Drosophila melanogaster: one gene and its partners. The protein of the gene in region 1 purifies or fractionates together with the protein of each later gene. This does not show direct contact. Each region holds a gene or a part of one and is shown in the gene's direction. Other genes may lie near its edges. The genes, in order: CG11911, ergic53, sel and yellow-f.

Evidence for each region.
Region 2: the proteins of CG11911 (region 1) and ergic53 purify together in Drosophila melanogaster (affinity purification with mass spectrometry, with the first as the bait; one large-scale study listed by BioGRID). This does not show direct contact.
Region 3: the proteins of CG11911 (region 1) and sel purify together in Drosophila melanogaster (affinity purification with mass spectrometry, with the first as the bait; one large-scale study listed by BioGRID). This does not show direct contact.
Region 4: the proteins of CG11911 (region 1) and yellow-f purify together in Drosophila melanogaster (affinity purification with mass spectrometry, with the first as the bait; one large-scale study listed by BioGRID). This does not show direct contact.

The regions. Positions count from the first base shown.
Region 1 is NT_033779.5:319,717-323,119, reverse strand, and holds CG11911 (uncharacterized protein), read left to right. Parts: upstream 1-1,871; 5' UTR 1,872-1,898; coding exon 1,899-2,732; 3' UTR 2,733-2,841; downstream 2,842-3,403. Other genes in the region: CG33127 (uncharacterized protein), read right to left, coding at 135-989.
Region 2 is NT_037436.4:8,533,185-8,538,526, forward strand, and holds ergic53 (ergic53), read left to right. Parts: upstream 1-1,792; 5' UTR 1,793-1,821; coding exon 1,822-2,002; intron 2,003-2,189; coding exon 2,190-2,908; intron 2,909-2,983; coding exon 2,984-3,459; intron 3,460-3,706; coding exon 3,707-3,832; intron 3,833-3,897; coding exon 3,898-3,934; 3' UTR 3,935-4,829; downstream 4,830-5,342.
Region 3 is NT_033778.4:10,050,297-10,053,820, reverse strand, and holds sel (seele), read left to right. Parts: upstream 1-1,653; 5' UTR 1,654-1,934; coding exon 1,935-2,019; intron 2,020-2,119; coding exon 2,120-2,287; intron 2,288-2,481; coding exon 2,482-2,798; 3' UTR 2,799-2,959; downstream 2,960-3,524. Other genes in the region: COX7CL (cytochrome c oxidase subunit 7C-like), read right to left, coding at 3,003-3,015, 3,072-3,199, 3,261-3,350. UniProt on the Drosophila melanogaster protein: Involved in embryonic dorsal-ventral patterning which is generated by a series of serine protease processing events where gd processes snk which cleaves ea which then processes spz into the activating ligand for the Toll receptor.
Region 4 is NT_033777.3:12,990,909-12,994,999, reverse strand, and holds yellow-f (yellow-f), read left to right. Parts: upstream 1-1,798; 5' UTR 1,799-1,854; coding exon 1,855-2,017; intron 2,018-2,204; coding exon 2,205-2,534; intron 2,535-2,600; coding exon 2,601-3,256; intron 3,257-3,317; coding exon 3,318-3,458; 3' UTR 3,459-3,551; downstream 3,552-4,091. Other genes in the region: yellow-f2, read left to right, coding at 1-66, 183-572, 681-1,336, 1,404-1,544. UniProt on the Drosophila melanogaster protein: Tautomerization of L-dopachrome with decarboxylation to give 5,6-dihydroxyindole (DHI). Also catalyzes the tautomerization of the methyl ester of L-dopachrome and dopamine chrome. May play a role in melanization reactions during late pupal and adult stages.

The DNA.
Region 1 (3,403 bases):
CACTTATCGAGCAATAAAACAAGGTTTTCTATTCACGTTAACGAGCTCTGTGATAAGATACGAAAACGCGCGGTGTTTACTTTAATGTACTGCTAGAGTATTACGCAAAGATCTCCCCTTCGACACCACGACTCTCAGTTAAGCTGGTAGTAGGCGCCGATCGTTTGGTGGATCCATCCAATGTAAGGGGGTACAGAGGTGTACACCGTTGGCCGATTGGCATATCCGCACGGCATATAGCTCCAGGATCCGAGGCCCACCAACTCCGCCGGTCCAGTGATGGGCCAGTAGATCAGGGGAGTGCCTCCGTCTCCGTAGCAGGTCTTTACCTGAGAGCACACCTGCTGCGCCGTCAGAGGAGCGTCTGCGGGCAGCAACTCCTTGCAACCCGTGCTATTGAGTAGGGGAGCGAAGGCATACTGCAACTCTTTGGAGTACTCGTCGCCATCGGGGTCGGTGAGTCCCCAGCCATAAGCAGCAGCTGTCTTATTGCTGTAATCATCATTGATGTCGGGCAGGGCGATCTGCTGAACTCGAGCGTTGTACTCGAAGCTCTCAGAGACGTGGAGCAAGGCTATATTGTCACTTCCGGCGTTTCCATTGAAAGACCGATGCGTTGAGGCGAAGTCGACGTAGCGCACTTGGGCGGCCGTCACGTTCGACCGGTTGATGATTCCAGCGTAAACGGGTGTTCCTACGGCATCTCCGTTGAAGGTGCGCAGTTCATCGACACAATGAGCAGCCGTCAGGAGCCATCGTTTGCCAATGATGGATGCCCCGCACAAGTGGGTATAGGTGGCCCTTGTCAAGGACAGGGACACCAGGTAGGGCACATTGTCCACCCCCTGCACATCGTAGCCATCTATAATCAGGGGCTGGATCTCTGCGTGAACTTGTTCTGTATCCCTCAATGTCAGGTGTTGAATGTGCGGAAGTTTAGCCGCTCCGGCCAAAGCCAAGAGGGGCAGCAGGAAAAGCGGCGATAACATCACTGATACGGTTGAGAATTTGAATCGTCTAAACCGGACGCCGAAAAGCAACTGGCCTTTTATAGTACAAGACCAAAAAGCTTTGCCATGCAGAGGAAAGAGAGAAAACCCCTGGAGTGCAGCAGTAACTCAAAGAACTAGTTCGATTATAGAAATATTGGACTAACCTCTGATACCGGGAATTAAGAGATTACGTTTTTAATGTGGCTTTAAAAAATTACATGGAGTGGGACATTCAACTTCTCCACATTACCTAACATATATGCATATATTGTATGTATGTATGTAGCATGTAAAATATAATTTAAGTTTAAGCTCCGTCTTAGGCTACATGTACTATTTTAACCTCCTGGTGCTGTGGCATTTAAATTTTGCAATTAACCTTTGAAGCGCGTAAGAGGACACAATGAAGATCGCGGAGTGCATCCTTGCATGCACTAATTGCCGACTGTCCGGAACAAGCTGCAACCATGTGTCATTAGGGCCACATGTCCCATGGTGTGGATGTTGTCCTGAAAATGTTTACGCAAACACGCGGTCACTTCAGGGGTATGAAATCTCTTCCTCCTCTCTTAATTGGCTTTGAACGCCAGCTGGGAGAACCCCATCGAGAGGGGTCAGTATTTATAGCATCCTTTGAGACTGGGCCGTGGTCGACCTTGCCGTGTCAACACCTCGGTTAGCACATTACGCACACCCACGTGGGCGCAGATTTCCAGGGCTTTTCCCATTCAAGAACAAGTTACTATTAAATACGCGTACTCATATCGGACAATCGTAATCAATTCAGACGAAATTAACTAATCGTCAAATACTATTCATAAATCTATCTGCTTATCTCTAGTGGTGGGCAAGTATAAAAGGTGCCATTAGTTGGTAGTCAGTATACATTCTCCGTAAATCTGCAGAATGAAACTGATCACTGTGACTTTGGTTATTGCCCTTGTGGCCGCCGCCCAGGGAGCCAAGCTCTCCGACAAGCTGGCCAAACTCGTGCCTAGCTTTGCGACCGGCTTCGTGATCAACGGCACGGAGGCAGAACCCCACTCCGCCCCGTACATTGTTTCCCTGGCGACCAACTACTTGAAGCACTCGCACATCTGCGGAGGCACCTTGATTAACAAGGACTGGATTGTGACTGCTGCTCATTGCATTTCCGAGCCAGTAGGCATGAGCATCATTGCCGGACTCCACACCCGTGCCGAGGTGGATGAGCTGACCCAGCAGCGCCAAGTTGACTTTGGCCGCGTCCACGAGAAGTACACCGGTGGCGTTGGGCCCTACGACATTGCCCTGCTGCACGTGAACGAGTCTTTCATCTTCAACGAGTGGGTGCAGCCCGCCACCTTGCCCAGCCGTGAACAAGTCCATGAGGGAGAGACCCACCTGTACGGTTGGGGACAGCCAAAGTCCTACATCTTCTCGGGCGCCAAGACCCTGCAGACTGTGACCACCCAAATTTTGAACTACGAGGAGTGCAAGGAGGAGCTGCCGGAAAGCGCTCCTATCGCTGAGTCCAACATCTGCTCCTCTTCCCTGCAACAGAGCAAGTCTGCATGCAACGGTGACTCCGGCGGCCCCCTGGTTGTTGAGTTCACAAACGCCCCCTCCGAGCTGATTGGCATCGTATCCTGGGGCTACATCCCCTGCGGACTGGCCAACATGCCTTCCATTTACACCAAGGTGTCGGCCTACATTGATTGGATAACCAATATTCAGAGTGCCTACTACAAGCTCTTCTAAACAAAAGGAAGAAACTATTAGTCAGATCTATTAGCCAGGATCGAAATCGCTATTGATCAGAGTCATGATCGATTGTTGAATAAAAGCATCCAACTAAAACTTGTCTTGTAACTTTTTTGCGTTTATTCTTTCTAAAATACCATCCTCTTCAACGCAAAGCAAAAACGTTCAAAAAGAAACTAGTTTTGTACACCCCTCCGATTGATCGATTGTGAAATAATTATAGGCAATGAAAGTCCAGTCTCTGTTTGCTTTTCTACAATTTATTGTGTCTGATTACCCTTGAATCGAACTGTAATCGGAACTGGATTAAAGACGGTCCCGAACACACCATTTGTCTCTTGATTTATGGTTTCTAATATAAGCTCTGGAAAAGCCCAGACTTTTGGAGGCGTGTGCCATTGATAGACGATCCAGTATCGAAAGTCATGCACTCGACCAATCAAATCTAACCGGACTGAAAGCTCCTTATCATTGCTATTAAAAAAGTGCTAAATAATATTGAACAAAGAGATTGGAAAAGCTTTACAAAGTTCGAATTCTAAGAATCAACATGTTGCTAAAACAACGTTTAATACAACAAAGAATACAAGGATGACGCATGAAAATTTACAACTTTAAAAGTTAAATTTTTCTAGATGCTTTTTGGCGCTACTAAAAATAATTCCCAA
Region 2 (5,342 bases), on another chromosome or scaffold:
TGCATTTTTTCCGCCAAGCCTATAGAACCTCTTGAATTATTATTTTTTGTATAATTTCATTACATTGTTGTTTACATTATTAGTTCACAGAGTTAGACAAAACAGAACCACAGACACAGCCGGTTGGCGCTTATCAAACGCATTTGTTATCCAGTTTATGAAACACACAACCTCACACCCACACACAAGCGACGCAATTCATCAAACTCGTTTTATTTTCGTTCCTAATTTTGCTATTGAACTGCGTTCGAATCCATTTCACACCCAATTTAATGTAAGATGTCTTGAAATTGGCTAGGTTATAAAGTGATCTTGAATTTAGATGAAAACATTTGAAAAGCATGCCGTGATGCTGTCAAATGAGAAAAGGAAGTAACAAAAAATGGATTGGATCTGGATCCCACAATCCTCTAATTACTGATCTTATACACGAAAGAGAACCTAAAAATTACGATATATTATATATAAATATACATATATATTGTAGGATATGTATACATACATATACTTTTTGTATTTTGTAGTCTAGAGTGCGCACGTTTACTTTATGCGAGTTTAACATTCTAAACCCAAAATAAAGGTATGTCCACCGCTGTTATGATTTTCTACAGTACTTAACGACTTGAACGCATATTTCCTCTTTCGGGAAATGTACACAAAACCCATTTAAGCTTAATTTATTATCGTATTTGTAATAAATTGAAAAGATTATTATATTGCACCATCATGCATAATTTAGATTTTCGCTACACTGTAGCGCCTTCGTTTAATTATAATTTTGTAATAAATCAAGCTAAAACAAAGACTTTGATTTTGTTTTAATCGATTTGAGTTTTTCTTTTGATCGCGCACAGAACTAACACGAAAGTGATTGTGATTCAAAATAAGTAACTAACATTTGTAAAATGGCGAAACTTGCGGCACGATCGCCCCTAATGACTATCCCCCACACACCGATCTGCACACAAAGCTATCACTTGTGTAAACTGAGCAACTAACAATATTTTATGAAGCCCACACTATGTGCTACCGAGGCATTAAAACCTATAATAATTCTAGCTGTAAGCTCTACGAAAACTACAAACGGTAGGAAATCAGAAACAAAGAATAAAGATGTAAACATATATACACACACTGTGCTAACTGTGCTAAAGGAATTTTGGAGATATGGATGTAATACTACTTTGGTGATATCACGCAAAAGGCAATTGAAACAACTAACGAAATAATTTTACAATAACGTATTGATAAACATGTATCTATGTAAGCACATGCGAATGGCGCGTATTTTGCTATATTTATGTTTATTTTCTAACGGGACGTAAACACTTTAAATTTTCAAAATAAATGTTTTTCCACCTCAACATCATAAAGTGATAACAAGATCTTTTGAATTTGGTGGGCATTTGCGATATCGATATAAAATCTACCGAAATCGATAGCGATTGTATTGTCGCTGCCTGAATATTTTTTAGATCACTTGGTTCTTGTTTCTTAGAATGCATGGAAAAACTTTTATCTTATAGAATTTTAAATTGTGATCTAAGCTGAAGTTAATTGTTATAGGATGGCTGGTTTTATTTAAGTTCAACATTTATATACGAAGGATGGCCTAAATAAATGTTCTAATCAATTTATATTATATTACCTTAATTGTTAATGGTAGACAATACATAAAATAATATTTGATTTTAAATTATACAATGCTTTTAGAACATCCAGTGCGATACCACCGCCTATCGGTGCCGGCTGGTTATCGATATCATCAGTTTGCACCATCGTCGCCCACCCACCACTAGTTGTCAACATATAATTGCAAAGATGCGGCCCACATTCCTGGCCATTTTGTGCTTCCTGGCGTGGAATCCCAGCTCCGAGGCGACCGGCAATCTGAGTCCTGGAGCCGTGGGCGTGCACCGTCGCTTCGAGTACAAGTACTCGTTCAAGCCGCCGTATTTGGCACAGAAAGACGGCACCGTGCCGTTTTGGGAGTACGGGGGAAGTGAGTACGAGTGGAAGACGCAGCTCCACGTCAGTTGTTTTGGCCCACTCGCTGCTGGTCTGCGGCCATGGGTGCGAGCGAGATGGCGCGAGGCGGCCAAGTGTACACGCAGGCACTTTGTTTGGATGTCGTTTTGACCACGGTTTCGGGTGTTTCTATAGCCACAACTTGTTGCTCCTCATTTCAGATGCCATCGCCAGTTCGGAAAGTGTGCGCGTGGCGCCATCGCTGCGCTCACAGAAGGGTGCCATCTGGACAAAGTCACAGACGAACTTCGACTGGTGGGACGTGGAGATCGTGTTCCGGGTGACGGGACGTGGCAGGATCGGAGCCGATGGATTGGCCTTCTGGTACACCACGGAAAAGGGTGACTACAATGGGCCTGTGTTCGGATCCTCGGACCGCTGGAATGGTCTGGCCATCATGTTCGATTCCTTCGATAATGACAACAAGCACAACAATCCTTACATCAGTGCCGTGCTCAATGATGGCACCAAGCTGTATGACCATGCCGAAGATGGAACCACTCAGCTCCTGAGCGGTTGCCTCAGGGATTTCCGTAACAAGCCCTTCCCTACACGGGCGCGAATCGAGTACTACAACAACGTGCTTACCGTCATGATCCACAACGGAATGTCCAACAACAACGATGACTACGAGCTGTGTCTGAGAGCGGATGGCGTCAATCTGCCCAAGAACGGCTACTTTGGCATTTCCGCCGCCACGGGCGGTCTGGCCGATGACCACGATGTGTTCCATTTCCTGACCACGTCGTTGCATGCCGCTGGACAAGTTCAGGAGCAGCCCAAGGTGGAAAACCAGGAGAAGCTTACGCAAGAGTACAAGGAATACCAAGATAAACTGGAGAAACAGAAGCAGGAGTACAAGAAGGACCATCCCGACGAGGTAATTGCCACGCAGCCAGCTGATAAAGATGTCTTATCGCTAGTTTTGATAATCAACTTTCGTATAATCCCACAGCACAAAGACGAGGAGGACTGGGAGGAGTTCTACGAGTCGGAGAACCAGCGTGAGCTGCGTCAGATCTGGCAGGGTCAGAGCCAAATTGCCGATCACCTACGCGAACTTTCCCGCAAAGTGGATGAGATTATTGGCCGCCAGGAGACCACGCTGTCGCTGGTCTCACGTAATGCTGGACAGGCTCTGCCTCCGCCCGCCGCCGGCGGAGTGCCACAGCAACAGCTGCCCGTTGGCGCAGTCAGCAGGAGCGATGTAGATCTTCTGCTCACTAATCAGAACATGCTGCTCAGTTCCATCCGCGAGATTCGTCAACTGGTTGGCGATATCAATGTGCGCACTGATAACATTCAAACGAATCAGAAGCATGCGCCCACAGCACAAATCCAATCCACCGGCTATGATGTACAAACGCTCATCGCCGAGATGCGCGATGGCATGAATCAGGTCAAGCAGGGCATCACCCACGTGGGCCAAAGGTGAGGAATACGCTCAAAGTCTATTTTAAGTTTCCTAAAGCTGTTGTCATCGAAGTTATTCTGAGCTCGAATTAATTTTAACCTTTTCAGCCATATTTATACTAATTTTTCGTATTCCACATTATGAAATTAGAGTTTTAACAAGTTTGATTCAGAGGAACATGTTTATGAGTTTTAGACTATTATACTTTATTGTCATCTTTTAAGTACCTCCTTGATACTCAATATGCATTCCCTTACCTTGCAGATTGGCAGCGCCACAGGGAGCAGCGCAGGTGGCCAATTGTCCCACGGGCAATTGCGTTGGAGTCACATTGTTCCTAAGCGTAACTGTTGTGCAACTGCTGCTAGTCTTCATCTACAACGTCTTCAAGTGAGTTCATGGAATCTTTAAGCGTGGATTCGAAACTAAACAATCTAACTTATTATTCCTTGCAGAAACCGCAGCGAAGCACAGGCGAAAAAGTTCTATTAGGCGAATTCGCGACTTATTGGGATCGTAACGAATAACAAACACACAAGCATACACCCACAGAAATCACGAGGAAACAGATTCGCACACCTGACTAGGCAGCAACTAAATTTAGTTAAAATGAAAGATTTAAGACTTCAGCGTAGCATGCTCTACCATTATGTGTAACTGTTTGTTTTTTAAATAGAAGTCTGTTTAAGAAGTCAGGTCACGAATACAAACTCAAGTCGTTACTTAATCAAAGCAAGAACAAGAAATTTGATCAATGATGTATGCCTCATGACAATGCCACGCAATACAAAACGAAGAAACCGTCGAAGAAGCCACAAGACAAACTTCCCTTAGTAATAGCCAACAGAAGATGTTTCATATTTGTTTTAGCAAGTCAAGTCGAAAGTTTCACTCCATTCTCAACTCTGCATATCATGTGTGCAGGCATTTATAAGAAGCACAAGAAAATCTATCTAAAAAAAAATAAAAATAAAAATGGCAAAATCTATATAAGTACGAAAATTCCGTAAACGTAGCAAATTTTTGTAATATCTTGTATACTTTAGAGTTGAGATGAATCCATCAGGCTCGGCTCTTGAAACTGAATTGGCAACATAAATCTTTTTTCCCATTTTCATGCGCCAAATGGTCAACAAAGCTAGTTAGCCAGCATTTTTGTTATTACGCCAGAAAGTGAATTAATTTAATAATTATGATGAACTGTCTCACTAAGTTTTTGTTCGGTTCGCATCGTCACTGGTGCGATGTAAGGAAGTTTTCTACTGAATAATCTTAATATACATACTGATAAATTATAAAACAATTGAAGTGAAGTGTGTTTTTATATATGTTGTCCATTCCAGTCTCGATAGAAATGTTTAAAGTGAAAATAAAAATCAATTTATAGAAAAATCTATCTCCAACTGTTCAACTTGATAGTTTTAATCTGCGTCCTCATTTTATTTTTATACTTTTCCGAATGCGATATTATTTTCGCTGATGTCGACAGAGGAAAAAGTTTATTTCTTGAAAAGTCCTCGCAAGCATAAACTAGAATCCCTGTCAGTTGCCCATCCCCATCTTCATCCTCCCATCGATGACAATGCGGCAAAAATGGCGCCACTTGGTCGCCAGAATGCGTGGGGCTGGGGAACGAGTTGGGTTCTGGTGAACTTTGGCCATAAAATGTAACTGCCAATGGTGGCATTGTGGGCAGGTCCTCTGTGGTCTGAGTACCCATTCCATCGCATTGGGGAAAATCCCAGGAAAAGCACAGCCAAAGATAGATGGACAGAAGCCAACGGCAGTCGCGGCCCATGCAATAAATTCTCTACGGGATCGGGGAATGGGTTACACAGTTCTGGTGTGCGGTTGGATGGTAGCTTCGCCTATGTGCTCCGTTTCCTATATACTTTCACTG
Region 3 (3,524 bases), on another chromosome or scaffold:
TCTATATATACCAAATATATACGTATATATTTACTTTGTTTAAAAAAGCTCTTAACGGGAGCAGTTATTGGTCTTCATGGCGATTCAAGGCAGATTTTAATAAAGAAATATTAAGCTCAGTAAACTTTACTTAAAAAAGCAATACAAATTTGAAATTCTTTTTAAATTTGTATAATTTCTCCCATCGATTGTTTGCGTTGTACTTTAATATAATTTGGTTACATAAAGCTTTTGCTGTAGTTTCCAAACATACAATGTCATATAACGGCATAATTAGTCAGTTTCTAACTGAGCAACAAACGGAAACAGCTTTCGCATATACTTTATTCCGCATAACTTTGAAAAGAAACAATAATATTTTCTATTCTTACGACAAAAATACTCATTATCATAAACCGGCAGCCTTTCAATTTACTATAAAACACGAATGCAACCTGAACGAGCTGGAACAGTTCTCGATTTCATATCACAACATGAAGATCACGATTATTCTGGCGCTAACTCTAGTTGCGGTTTGCTTAATGCAGGTTCGATCTATTCCGAAGGATTCCGAGAATAGACTTCTGCAAAAGGAGCTTCAAAGGAGTCTTATCCAGGATGCGAAGGAACATGTCCGCCCAAGGCGACAGTCCTGCATTGAGCGGTGCAATTCCCTCTGTTCGAAGAAGGGCTTTAAAGGTGTTTGTGTTAAAGGTTTGTGCCGTTGCACTTGATTTTAATAAGGAGATATATATTTTTCTATATATTTTTAAATAAAATCCACATTAAATCTATGTGTTTTCTATTTAAGATTGCGGTGCTTCTCGAACTCATTCATAGCTGAATAAATTATCATCGATCGCTTATCTCGTAGCCCGCGAATGCCACTTTCCGTTTGGCAGGGTCAAAAAATTGAACCTACGCTAAAAGGTATAGCAACAATTTGCATTGCATTTCCGTTTCTTTTGCGGCATTGCTCTATAAATACGGCAAGTCCGACGACTACAATTCGTTCTTATCAATTAACCGAGCAAACAAACAGACGCCAAGAAAAATGATCATCAGTGCAAGCGAACAAGGGGAATAGGGAAGAGAAACACGCGCCGAGAGAGAAACACGACACTTAATTAACGCCAATTATAATGGTTAATAAGAGTATGTAGAAATCGAGGAACGCGGCCGACTTGTGGGTTTCTTTTAATTTACAAACGCTTTGCCGGTTAATTACGCGAACCCCTCGTCCTCACATCTCGATCCGAAAACAGAGCAACCACTCGCGAGCGATTCTCCATTTGCACTGACTCTTCAGTTATCGGCTCACTATATAGTAGCACATCGGCTAATGTACATAAGTTTTCGATCTAGAGCTAAGAGAATACGAGAATTGAGATGCACATATGTATATAATGCAGCTCTCCCCCAAACTTAAACATTTCAACGTGCATCGTGCTACGATCAAGATTTGAATTAACGCGCGCACTTGACTATCGATATTTTTTTTGTTCAAACGATTTACAAATGTTAAACGACATCATTTTATGTGAATCATCAAATTAAATCTCTTAACGACAAGTACACATATTTCATTTTTAGCTTAAAATAGGTAGAGATGGTCACCTTAAAAATATTTGATAGCCAAAACTGGCGTTAGCTAGAAAAGTTCTATCGATAGCCGGGTATTATCAATAAGGTTTCTTTAAAACGTTTACCACAATTCTTGTGAACGCTGACCCAGACCCACTGACCGCGTCCCTCGTCACCACATCTTGGGCATAAATTAAGTAGAATTCTTCACTTATCGCTGCAGAGCATCAAGAACCACGTCGCTCTTAAGTCGTCGTAAATACAGCACACGTCTTTATCAACGCCGCACTTTTAAACGGAAGGCGCTTCTGCTGACGTGGTTAATGCAATTAGTTTCCACGCGTTAAACTATTAAACAATCAATTAAAAAGATGCTGACGAAGGCGCTTATCCTGTTCGGCCTGCTGGCCTTGGCCCAAGGTTACAGCTTCACCTCCCGCGAGGTCAAGTGTCACGGTAAGGAGAATCCACACATAACAGCGCGCCAGCAACAGGCGGCAGTGCACTTGTTGGCTGGCCCTGGGAGCCCGGATAATTGAGGTTCCATAAATTACAGTGTGCAAGGCCGTGGTTACGGAACTGGAGGAGGCCATTGCCAAGGAGGACCCCCACAAGATGGCCGATGTCAGTGGATTCCGGCTGGACGCACAGGGAAATTCGATCAGCAAGAAAGTTCGCCTAGTGAAATCTGAAATGTTCCTTACCGAACTGATGGAGAAGATCTGTAAGTAATTATTACCATATGGTACGGAATAGCATAGAGGCTTGATAAAGACCAGTCTAATCTTAAAACATTTGACGTTAGTCAAAAGTTTTACCTTCGAGCGTAGCTATTGTTTATCAATGAAGATAGTTATATGTGGTATTCTATTAATGATAACACTTTGCTTATCATTCCTAATATTTTCCCGTTCTAAGGCGAAAAAATGGACGACTACTTGAAGGCAACCTACAAGAGCAACGGGAAATTCACACTCCTCAAGATGATCATCAATGGTCAGATGAACCCAGACTCCTCGTTGGTTGACTTTGTGCAAGATGGTGATCTCAACAAAAGCCTGGGGCACTTCTGCAACGAAGTACTGGAGGACAACGATGAGATCTTCGTTAAAGCCTTCCAGGCCGAAGAGCTCGGAAACGATTTAGACATCAAGATCTGCTCAGAACAAGCGAGCTACTGCGACGAATCGCCGGTCCAGGAGGAGTATGACTTTGATGGCAAAGAGGAACTGTAGTTTGTCCCAGTGAAAGCTTAGTTAATTAACGAATTTCCTTGATCGCCGCCAGTGGAGGTCTTTGTACTGATATTTCGAACGAAAATTATGTTTAGCTAATGTAAAGAAAACCATGCCAAGTGTTACAAATTATGTACGACAATAAATTCCATGTGCAATGTATTTTTATTAATTTATTAACGAGTGTTCTATGTCATTTTGGGATTACTCATCCTTGCTGTAAAGCAAACATTAATAACGATACGATTTTATTGGATTACTCGGATTACTTACGGATCATTGGTTACATTACGAAGCATCTGATGGCGAATAACTAGGAACGGAGCCCCAAAGCCCACGACTCCCGCAATTAGGTAAAATAGTGTGAAACGCATTGGACTATCCAAGCCAAAGGGTAAGTTCTGTGAGGGAAATTGTAAGTTCTTAGAATGGTTAGCTGCGTGTTGACCTTGGATTAACTACCGCCCCAGGAGAGCCGCCTGGATATCCACTCCCATAACGCATCAGCGGCCCGCTAAACTTGCCAATGGGTTTACGAAGTGTGGGCCACATGAGTAAATTTTAATCCGTTTGTTGAGACGGGAATAAGAAATTATTTGATTGCTTGCGAGTGAGAAGTTACTCCCAGATTTCTAGCGAACGAATGAAAGTTACTGGCTTTTCGAAAAATTTCCTGACATATATCTTTATAGGCAAGCCTACTTAAGGGAACCCTTAAAACTTCAC
Region 4 (4,091 bases), on another chromosome or scaffold:
ACTTTTACAATCGCGGAGATGGCCATCTAAGCTCGGGCGGAAGGAAAGACAGGCCCAGCTTTTCAGGTTAGTACTCATAATATGATATTACTAGTTCTCATTCAGCAATAGCAATCTCGCGAGCCTTGTTAGATAGATTTATTGGTATTTACTTATGTACTATTTTTTTATTGTTCAACTAGCTCCGGTTGTCTTTCCTGGAAAGTATTCTCGTCGAAAGCGTAAGATTATGACCTCCCGCGATACACCGGTAGTGGTCAGCTCCCGCGCCGACAGCGACGACCCCAACGCCTCCTACATTCCGTACAATAACGTGCCCATGGGAGCCACTCACTTCCGCGGCCGCCTCTTTGTCACGATGCCTCGTCGACGGGTGGGCATCCCATCCACCTTGAATTACATCGATCTGGCCGAGGACGGATCGAATCGCAGCCCCAAGCTGCGGGCCTATCCCAACTTTGCGCTTAATCAGTTCAACGCGAGTGCGGAGAATCTGGTGTCCGTCTACAGAACCTCCGTGGATGCATGCCAGCGTCTCTGGTTTATCGACACGGGAATGCTGGAGTATCCAAGTGAGTTGGCATGTATTGACATGTAATATAAAAGATCAGGATCGATCCGTATTAATCTAATTTGGTGACCAAGAATATAAAAAACTCAATCATGATTCTCATATCCAGATAACCGCCAACAGATCCGCCGTCCCAGCATTTGGGTAGTTGACTTGGCCACGGATCAGGTGCTGAAGCGCTTCGATGTTCCGGAGAGTATAGCTGAGACGGGTCGCGGATTGGCCAGCATCACCGTGGATGTGAAGGCGGGTCAGTGTGGCGATGCCTACGCCTATATTCCGGATCTGGTGTACCGGCGCCTGTACGTCTATCACCTGCGAAACGATAGAATCTGGTCCTTCGAGCACAACTACTTCAACTTCGATCCGCTGTCCGGGGATCTCAGCATTGGCGGCCAGACCTTCCGCTGGGACGATGGCATCTTCTCAATAACTTTGGGGGCCCAGAAACTGGATGGGAGCCGCGATGCCTACTTCCATCCCATGGCCAGTACGAATGAGTTTGTGGTCTCCAACCGGGTTCTGCAGCAGGAATCCAACGCCGCACGTTCCGATCATGGGAACGATTTCCGGGTACTCGGAAGCCGTGGTCCGTCCACCCAGTCTACGATGCACGCTTACGATCCTGGGACTGGGGTGATCTTCTTCGATGAGATCCAGCGCAACGGAGTGGGCTGCTGGAAGACCAGCAAGCCCATCTCGGCGGAAAACTATGGCTCTGTGGATTCCAATGCCGAGGATATGATTTATCCCAGCGACTTGTCGGTAAGCAAATGGTTTTGGATAAAAAAGTTGAAGAAAAAAAGTTATACATCTCATCTTACTATTGCAGATTGACGAGGATGGCACCATTTGGGTCATGTCCAACTCCATGCCCATCTTCATCTACTCCACACTGGACACGAGTATATACAATTTCCGGATTTGGAAGCAGAAGGCTTCACTGGCCAAGAGGGGCACAGTTTGTGAGTGATTCGTGTGGAATTCCTGTTGAATTTGTTACTTAATTAAAAATACATACATAAGTAAGAATGACGAAATTTTCGAATAAATAGTTAGCTTTACAAATATACTCTTCAGATTATCAACAAATCTTAAAAGTTGAATAAAGAGACATGGAAAATAAGAGCTTGGGAATCCCAGTGACTGCTCTTATCACTTTACATTCTGAGCTCATTTTTGAGTCGCAGAGCACGTTTAACTCAGTTGAACCCAAGCTGAGGAGTCAGTCAGTCACAAGTGGGTTTTCAGCCAGGAAAGGCGAACGACCGGAATTTTATAAAATGTTATCGCTGGACGTTCTGCTCCTGTGCGCAATCTCAGGGTTCCAATTGCTAATCTCTGCAGATGGAGATCCCATGATTGAGGTCTTCAAGTGGAAGCAGTTGGACTTTTACAATCGCGGCGATGGCTATAAGGATTTGTGGAACAGGATCTGCATTCCAGGTAACTCCAAAAATATCCAATTGAAATATGTTCAATTTCAAACATCAGCAAATGTCGGTGAATCACTAAGTTTTTCCACAAAACATTATGAAATGGTTGTAATATGAATATTATTTTAATCACCATTTTATCGTCACTTTTATAACGAATAATATGTATATATATCACAATTATTCGTTCGACAAAGATTCGCATTTCTACAACTCCCGCAAGTGCTTAGGCTCCTCATCCTCAGGATCCTTCATCCAATACAACAACGTGCCCCAAGGAGTAACCCACTTTCGAGGACGCCTCTTTGTCACCGTGCCACGGCGACAGCCGGGCATTCCGTCCACCTTAAACTACATCGATCTGGCCAAGGATGGGTGGAGTCAGAGTCCCCATCTACGGGCCTATCCCAACTTGGCGGTGAATCAGTATAATGCGAGCGAGCAGAACCTAGTGTCTGTCTATAGAACCTCAGTGGATGTCTGTGGGCGTCTCTGGTTCGTCGACACCGGAATGCTGGAGTTTCCCAGTGAGTATAATCATTTGCTTTATAGGCAAGGTGATCCAGGTTAAAATAATATTATATAACCATCAGATAATCGCCAGCAGATTCGACATCCTAGCATTTGGGTGATCGATTTGGCTAACGATCGCTTATTGAAACGATTTGAGATTCCGCAGAGCATAGTGGAGATCGGACGTGGACTAGCCAGCATCACAATCGATGTGGGCGCTCGGAGGTGCAACGATGCCTATGCCTACATTCCGGATTTGGTCAATCGCAGACTGCACGTCTATCACCTGCGAAGCGATAGAATTTGGTCCTTCGAGCACAGCTTCTTTAACTTTGATCCCCTTTCTGATAATCTCAACATTGGTGGGCAGACCTTCCGCTGGGACGACGGGATTTTCTCGGCGACCTTGGGATCATATAAGCCCGATGGCAGCAGGGATGTCTTCTTCCATCCTATGGCCAGCACGAATGAGTTTGTGGTTAGCAACAGGGTCTTGCAGCAGGAATTCAATGCAGCACGTTCTGATCATGGAGACGACTTCCATCTTCTGGGAACTCGTGGTCCGTCCACCCAGTCCACAATGCATAAATACGATCCGCGGACCGGGGTGATTTTCTTTGCCGAGGTCCAGAAGAGTGGAGTGGGCTGCTGGAAAACCAGCAAGCCGTTCTCAACGGAAAACCATGGCTCCGTTTATTCCAATTCATCGGAGATGATTTATCCCAGCGATTTGACCGTAAGCTCATCCCTTTCTATTTGTAACACGAAAACGAAGGTTAAGTGCGTTGTTGTTTTAGATCGACGAGGAGGGATACATTTGGGTGATGTCCAACTCCATGCCCATCTTTGTGTACTCCAAGCTGGATGTGGAGAAGTACAATTTCCGAATCTGGAGGCAGTCGACATTGCTGGCCAAGAGGGGAACAGTTTGTGAGTGATTTGCGTGGAATTGCTTTAATGAATTTTTCGCATAAGTAATATGTTTATCGAAATAACACACGGAAACTTATTAATAAAATAAATCAAAAAGCATTTACATATGTATCGTTTAAAATTGCCTAAATTTGAGTACTCATTTTTATCACATCTTATATGTTACGACAGATGCGTATGTCTTTTCGCACGAAACAAATGAAAACATGAAAGAAAACAACATCAATGAACAAAATCAGAGGCACTCCAATATTGCATAAGGATACTAAGTTGCACAGTTGTGTGTGTAAGGGTTACGCGTGTATATGTTAACCTAAAATACTTGAATTTCATGTTGTAAATTTCTCATAACTTTTCCGCATCTAAACAAATTCGAGGTGTAAATTTGGTAGCCCTTCAAAGTGTCAGCTATACATATGGTGTATATAGATCTATATATATATATATATATATATCTATTCAATTTGTATATATATGTACGAGTTTATATAAAGTTTTGCAAAAAATATATAGGTTGCTTTTGTATATGTTCCTCAACGCTACACCTAAGTCCTTTAAGTAGTTTCGATCATAGTTAATATATGTAGTGTGTAGTACGTAATATAGCGAAATGTTTCTACCAGTTCTAGTTGACTATA